Elephas maximus indicus: one gene and its partner. The protein of the gene in region 1 interacts with the protein of each later gene in a pairwise test. Links are inferred from orthologs where the notes say so. Each region holds a gene or a part of one and is shown in the gene's direction. Other genes may lie near its edges.

The links.
Region 2: the proteins of SDCBP (region 1) and MEOX2 interact in a two-hybrid assay, tested with the Homo sapiens proteins (2 studies listed by BioGRID and IntAct). The link is inferred for Elephas maximus indicus from reciprocal best matches to the Homo sapiens genes SDCBP and MEOX2.

What each region holds. Positions count from the first base shown.
Region 1 is NC_064833.1:85,377,447-85,381,192, reverse strand, and holds the start of SDCBP (syntenin-1), read left to right. Parts: upstream 1-1,048; 5' UTR 1,049-1,141; intron 1,142-3,746. UniProt on the Homo sapiens protein: Multifunctional adapter protein involved in diverse array of functions including trafficking of transmembrane proteins, neuro and immunomodulation, exosome biogenesis, and tumorigenesis.
Region 2 is NC_064826.1:76,480,543-76,484,288, reverse strand, and holds the start of MEOX2 (homeobox protein MOX-2), read left to right. Parts: upstream 1-1,112; 5' UTR 1,113-1,399; coding exon 1,400-1,913; intron 1,914-3,746. UniProt on the Homo sapiens protein: Mesodermal transcription factor that plays a key role in somitogenesis and somitogenesis and limb muscle differentiation. Required during limb development for normal appendicular muscle formation and for the normal regulation of myogenic genes.

The sequences.
Region 1 (3,746 bases):
AGGATTTTAACGCAAAGTCGTGGGGGCGGAAGGCAAGCGAATGAAACAAGGATTTTAATGCAACACTGGGGGAAGAAGCCAAGCAAAGAAAAAGCTTATCCTGATGCATAACTGTTTGAGGTTTTGTCTTAACCGGGACTCCACGTTAAGGACCAAGTAAGACCATATACATGAAGTTCTTATAACGGTGCCTGGCGTATAATAAGCATTGTTTTCATTCTGTTTTCGTGTTAGGATACAGTTATGACTTTTGCGCGGTACCACACATGCCCGCATCAGCCAGCGGACGTTAGCTCAGGTGAGCCAAGAGTAACAAATGCCACAGCGAGCAGCGCAGCAGAAGAGCGGCAGCAGTGGGGACGCGGGAGTGAGAGGACCGCTTCCGAGCCTGCGGGCGGAGCGACGCGGCGGGGAGAGAGGGCTGGGCGGCGGCGAGGAGGGCGTGGGCTGGCCGGGAAATGGGGGACGCGTGGGGCCCCCAAGCCTCTTTCTATTGGAGGCGACGGGAACCAAGGGAGCGGAGAGAAGCGCAGTAGCGAGGGGGCGGCATCTGTCCCTTGACGCAAGGGCCTTGGGCATCAACAGCAAACGGGGGGAAAGAGGAGGCGCGCAGAACCGCCGGCGGCCGGCGGACCTTGTGGGGATCAGCAGGCCGCCGCGAGGCCCCGCCCCCGGCCTCCCACCGCCCCTGCATCGCGACGCCCCGCCCCCGGCCTCCCACCGCCCCTGCATCGCCCCGCCCCCGGCCTCCCACCGCCCCCGCGACGCCCCGCCCCCGGCCTCCCACCGCCCCTGCATCGCCCCGCCCCCGCGACGCCCCGCCCCCGGCCTCCCACCGCCCCTGCATCGCCCTGCCCCCGGCCTCCCCCCGCCCCCGCGACGCCCCGCCCCCGGCCTCCCACCGCCCCTGCATCGCCCCGCCCCCGGCCTCCCACCGCCCCTGCATCGCCCGGCCGTCGGCCCGTTACCAAGGGGACCGGTCACCTGACGGCGGCGCCGCGCCTGCGCGGGCGGAAGGCGGGGGCGGGCCGTGACGGGCTTGTGGGCGGCTCCTCGGGTGTTCGCGGTGCGGCTCGTCTGGGGTCCTGGAAGTCTGTTCCTGGAGCCGAGGAAGCGGCAGGCGGCGGATCCCTGGGCCTAGGTGAGCGGCTCTGGGGGCGGGGCGAGTCCGTCGCGCGGTCCGGGCGCGGGGACGAGGCGCGGCGGCGCCGAGCACCTAGCGGAGAGCGTCCGGGGCCCCGGTTCCGGGAGGTGAAACCCTTAGCCCACCCCTTAGCGCCTTTCCGCGCCCCGGGCCCGGGCGAAGTTGGCGGGCGCGGCGCCTTCGGGGTCGGCCAGGTCCTCCTCGACCCTTTTTGTTCCTCCCGGTGAGGTCTCCAGGGACCAGTGAAGAGCGAGCCGCTGCTCGTGACCCGTCGCGGGCTTCGGTTCCTGGCTCGGACATAATCTGCCCTTGGCGGAGTCGGCAAGCCCGGGGTTTGGAGGAGGAAGGAGGTGTTTGTTTAGTGGGCGAAGCCTGGCTTTCGGGAAGGGATGGGGGAGAGGCTGTGCGCTGATTTCTGGAGAAGTTGGACGAAAGGAAGCCGCAGCCGGTAGGGTGTGTTCACAAGGAAATAGCCCTTGAGATCTGGTGACTCACAGCTTTCCTTTCAGGATTTCACTGTAATAATAAAAAAGTGAAACGTACGGATTTGGAAAGTTTTCTTGTTCACCAAAGTGGAATTACTGAATCATGGGGTCTTACAATGTGCCGATTTTCGAGGGAAATTTTTAGGTCTGTGTAGTCTGTATATATTACCTGCGCGCAAATTTACTGTTATTTTCTCCGTTATAAAAGTAATTACTTAGAAAGTACCCTTAGCTTGTCACACTCTTTAACATCCACTGCTTCCAAGGAGACAGTTGATTGGAAAGGAAAATTACATCGAAAAACAGCTGCAGTCTTTGTAAGTTAGATTTACCTCAGATCTATGTAAGTGATTGGTTAAAACTTAAATTTGTCCAATCTTTTCATTTTTCTATTTGAGATTAAGAACAAACAGCCCAAAATGTGAGTGCCTCATTTTCTCTGTTTCCAAATTAGTTCTGTAAGCTTTTGTGCTTTGAAGGGTAGGTAAATATTAGAGGTCAAGTGGTTTGTGCCACAGAATAAAAATAAGAAAGCGAACAACTTTTAAAAGCTTCAGGAAGTAATTATTCAATTGTGATCCCAGCTTAACTTTGGCAGCATTAATTTTTCTATTTTGGGCGTTATGAGAGAGGATATAAAAATCATTGACCAAAAGCGGCTGAATTTAGCAAGAGTTGGCACTTAAATGTACTGTTCAGTAAAATAGTTCCTTAAAATGAGCGAGACTCAACTTTTTTTTCCCCAAAAATTAGGCACATTTTGGGGGGGAGTAAATGCCCGGAGTTTCTAAAAAGAGGCTACGCCATACAACTTTAAAATATTTTTTACATCTCTTCGTTGCCGTGGAGTCGATTCTGACTCGTAGTGACCGCATAGGACAGGGTAGAGCTGCCACACAGGGTTTCCAGGGAGCCACTGGTGGACTCGAATTGCTGACCTTTTGGTTAGCAGCTGAACTCTTAACCACTGCAACCAGCAGGGCTCCTTCAGTTGCCTTCACAATGACTCTGACTCCTGGCGACCTCGTGAGTGTTAGAGTAGAGCTGTGCTCCATAGGATTTTCAATGGCTGATTTTACTGAAATCGATCGCCAGGGCTTTCTTTTAACGTGCCTCTAGGTGGACTTCACCGGACAGCCTTTTGGTTAGAAGCTGTGTATGTTAATCTTTTGCACTACCCAGGGACTCCCTAGTTATATTAAGCCAAAAAAACCAAACCCATTGCTGTCCAGTTGATTCTGACTTATAGCGACCCTATGGGACAGAGTAGAACTGCCCCCATAGAGTTCCCAAGGAGCGCCTGGTGGATTTGAACTGCTGACCTTTGATTAGCATCTGTAGCACTTAACCACTACGCCACCAGGGTACTAGCATTTATTAATTTATTTATAAGTGTTGCCAACTTTTTTTGTGTGTAGGTTTATTTACTTTTTTGAGAAAGAAATGCAGTCACTTGGTTCAAAATTTAACTAAAAAAGGTATGAAGTCTTCGTCCATCTGTGTCCCCTTGCCAACCATTTTCCCGTCTTGTAGGCAACCAACTTTTAAAAGTTTCTTAGGTATCCATCCAGGTATAGTTCATACCTCTGTAAGAAAGCGTGTTTAAGTATACTTTCCCCTTCCTTTCAGTACCAATGTTAGCATACTATATACATTGCTCTACACTGTGCTGCTCTTCTTCTAGTGTCTTCATGCTCAAGTGTGTTGTAGACTGAAAACCTGAATGGATATTGCTGGGTGGAGCGTATCGGCATTTATAGTTTTGATGGATACTGACAGAGGCTGTACTAGTTTACACTTCCACTAGTAATGTTTGAGAGTGTTTCTCCCTTACTGTCAGTGTATTGTCAAACTCTGAATTTTTGCCAGTCCAAATCATATGGGTAAGAAGAAATTATTGTACTCAGAGTAGACTTCAGTGTGGCCGTAATTTCTCAGCAGTTAATCATCAGAATCTCCCTGGATATTTATTAAAAAGACAAGTTCCTACGTCCTTCCATGAAGTTTTTCATTTACTAAATCTGTGTCAGCCTGGGAGACTGTTTTTAACTAGTGCCCCAGGTAATTCTGATGATTAGCCAAGTTTGAGAAACATTGCCCTGGCAGGCCGTAAAGGA
Region 2 (3,746 bases), on another chromosome or scaffold:
AAAATCGAGTACAGCCCTCTCTCGCTGGTAGTTACCGGTGGCAAGTTTTCTAATTTTTTTTTGAGGGGGGAGGATGCAAAATTGTTACTAGGGAGGCCCAAAGCCCCCAAATTTAGTAAACTTGGGGTGAGTGTGGGGAGTGTAAATGGACCCATGGGGGGATGCGAGCAACTGATTTATGTTTGAACGGAAGAGAGTGGATTGCTGGAGGGAAATGAAGGGACTAGGGCTCCTGAGGGGAAATGTGCGTGCCATCTACACATTTCATGTGATCGAGAAGAGAGCACTTTGTAATATTCCTGACCCAGGAAAAGTTCTCCTTGGTGGGTAAAAAAAAGTGACCAGGAAATTGAGCGGGACCAGGAACGGGTACGGGTAGCGTTTGCGGAGGGCGGGGGGGGGGGGGGAGGGAAACCCCACCTGGCATCGCAGGTGAGGATGCCAAGACCTGGGTATCTGCAACTCTACCCGCCTCACGCATTCCTCTCACCCACCCCACCAGGTCCTTCTCCTTTGAGCACAGAGAGCTGCCGTTTCCCGTTCGCGTGAACATCCCTGCAACCTCGGATTTGGAGCCTATTAACAACCCGCCCACAGACACCAGCGGCACAAGGCTGGGAGCGCTGCTGCGCCCAGGGCGCAGGAACTTTCGAAGTTTGAAAAACTGACGCCTCGGAGCGCGCGCCAAACTACCGCTGATCTTTTTTCTCTATGTTATTGGCCCTTCCGTGCGTTTCCTGCAGGTGACAGTTCCCAAGTGGCTTTGACAAAACATGTTTCCTGAGAGAAGTGAGCTAGTTGAAAACTGGGTGCTGGGTTGGGGCTGCGATGCGCCGCCGCGCGTCTTTGCCGATTGAGCCGCAGGGAAGAGCACTGCCGGCCCAGGCTGCGACCTAGGCGCCAGGAGCACCGCTTGCAACTTTGGCGTCTAGCAAGGTTGTGACGGGTTTAGAAGCACTGCGTCCGCCCAGCGCGGAATAGGAAGTGAAACTCCGAGCGCGCAGCGCAGACTGAACGAGGGTTTTGGAGGGAGTTTGCATGTGGTCAGCGCTGGGCTCCTAAGCCAGCCCCCAGCTCACATTACACTCTATTTATAACCTCTCAGAGCAGTTTTCCCCTGAAAGCAGTTCTCTGGGACCACCTTCTTTTGGCTTCAACCTCTCCTCCTCTTGACATCTGAGTAGCTCAGTGGAAAGCTCCTCCAGGTCCGAGTGTTTATATGTAAAGGAGACTGGCCGCTAAGGCTCAGGACCGGGATTATCCCAGCTCTGCAGAAACGCGCGGCTATTGCTGTGGGAGGGGGGTGGGGAAGTCACAGTTTCCAGTGAAAACTGACAGAGCTTGGTGGCTTTTGGAACCTTCGTGAAATCTTCTGTCTGGAACCTGAGACTTGCATGCTATGGAACACCCGCTCTTTGGCTGCCTGCGCAGCCCCCACGCCACTGCGCAAGGCTTGCACCCGTTTTCCCAGTCCTCTCTCGCCCTCCATGGAAGATCTGACCACATGTCCTATCCCGAGCTCTCCACTTCTTCCTCGTCTTGCATAATCGCGGGATACCCCAACGAGGAGGGCATGTTTGCCAGCCAGCATCACAGGGGTCACCACCACCACCACCATCACCACCACCATCACCACCAGCAGCAGCAGCACCAGGCTCTGCAAACCAACTGGCACCTCCCGCAGATGTCCTCTCCCCCGACTGCGGCTCGGCACAGCCTCTGCCTCCAGCCGGACTCTGGAGGCCCGCCGGAGCTGGGGAGCAGCCCGCCGGTCCTGTGTTCCAATTCTTCTAGCTTGGGCTCTAGCACCCCGACAGGAGCTACGTGCGCGCCAGGAGACTACGGACGCCAAGCGCTGTCGCCCGCGGAGGCGGAGAAGAGAAGTGCCGGCAAGAGGAAAAGCGACAGCTCAGGTAAGGGCGCGCGGGACACCCTCGGCGAGAGTGTGCACGGGGCTGGAAAGGAGGCGGAGAGATGCCAGGGAAGATTCTGGCAATACAATGAGGCAACAGGAAAAATGGGACCTGTTTGCCCTTTCTGGTTCTCCGTAGACTAATTCAACGGGGCCGTTTTGGTTGTGTTATGGGGTGCACGAGTTTTTCTGTGGGCAAAACAAGTGCAGCCAGCAGCTTTAAGCGCTCCAAGGTCCCATACTAGTTCATCAGAGGGTTGAGAAAAAAGGACAAGTGACATTACTGAAATAGATTGCGAAGCTTGTCCTTCCGCCCGAGGGGTGGGGAGGGAGGTGCGCCAGGGGATGCTGTCTCCGCCGCCGTGTGCGTGCGGGTGCCACTCCTTGACTTCTCCTTTGTAAGTTCCCGACTCGGAGTTGCTCGATTTTTCCCATCGTTAACTCGATTTCCAAATTATTGCACAATATTTGGAACTTGCAGTGGAATTTGGCAGAGCGCATGAGAAAAAAAAGTTCTAGTTTTTTTTTCTAAATTCTTATTTCAGAGTTCTTTAAATAGCACTTTTTTCCAAATGGTAAAAAAAAAAAAAAAAAAAAAATTATCTTCCTTGAGGAGAAAGACAGTATCTAGGAATTCCGAGGATTTTAAGCAATGTGTCAGAGAATTGTAAAGAAATAAGTAGATGTTCAAACTCTTCAAGAAAGAGAATTCTTAATAGTAGTTCGCCTTCTCTGGGTACTCATCTAAAGAGAAAACGTTGAGTTGCAAAAGTGGAACATAAAATACTCCTCTAATTGGGTATTATCTGGGGACAATTACTGTGAGGCAAAAAAGCAACTCCGGTAGTTTTGGTTTGCTGCGTGCCTGAAGCTCATATGTGAGGGTGAGCGCAGGAACCACTGAATTTTATGGAGATAACTTGAGTAGCCACGCAAAAGAGGAGCCTTCCTCAACTCCGGTGCTTACGGCACAGCTTGCCAAGTAAATTTTAGTAATTCTGAGAAACAGACTTTTCCAGAGAGCTCTTAAAAGCCCTTACCTATCTGTATCTTACGAAATTGCTGAATGATACTTAATAGTTGCATTTTTGAGTTTTCTTCTGCAGCTGCGGCGCGACCTGGGTTCCATCTTTTTGGAAAGTGTCACTTGTTTAATGTATTTGCATATTTATCTTCCTTTGCGAAATTGGTTTAATAGTTTCAGAAGGTAATCCTAGGTAATGGTTTCAAGCTTTGAAAATGTTTATTCTTTATAAAGCTTTAGATAAGATCCTACATAAATGACAATGACTGAGCCGCGGATTTCATTTCCTTAGCAGCAATAGTATCAATCTTCAGGGCTGGTATGGACTACAGCCTTCTGTCACAATCTCAAAACCTAACTTTTACTTTTCAAGGTCAGGAGTGAATTTCTGATTTTTCATACCAAAGTAGTTTATATCTAAGAGTTACCAGCTAAGTCACTCATTTTTAATGGATTTTACTTAGTGTAAGTGAAACTCTCAAGACAGTGAGTTAAAAGGCTAATCTTGCAGGAAGGTTTACATCTTCATTAGGAAAAGGAAAAAAAAAAAGGTCCTTTTGGAATACAGTAACGTTTTTATAGACTGAGCATTTGACAGTGTAACTTTGGGAAAGCAGATCCCAGTTCAGATTGGTCAGTCTACTTTTACAACTACCAGAAGCTCTTACCGTTCATTTTACTCTCTGCAATGAAAAATCTATGTGAGGGATTATTCCTTACACTGACTGAACTGAACCAATGCACCTAAGTTCCTTAGGACAAACTGCCTTTTCATACAGATACATGTTATTTTGGTTGGCGGAAATAGAG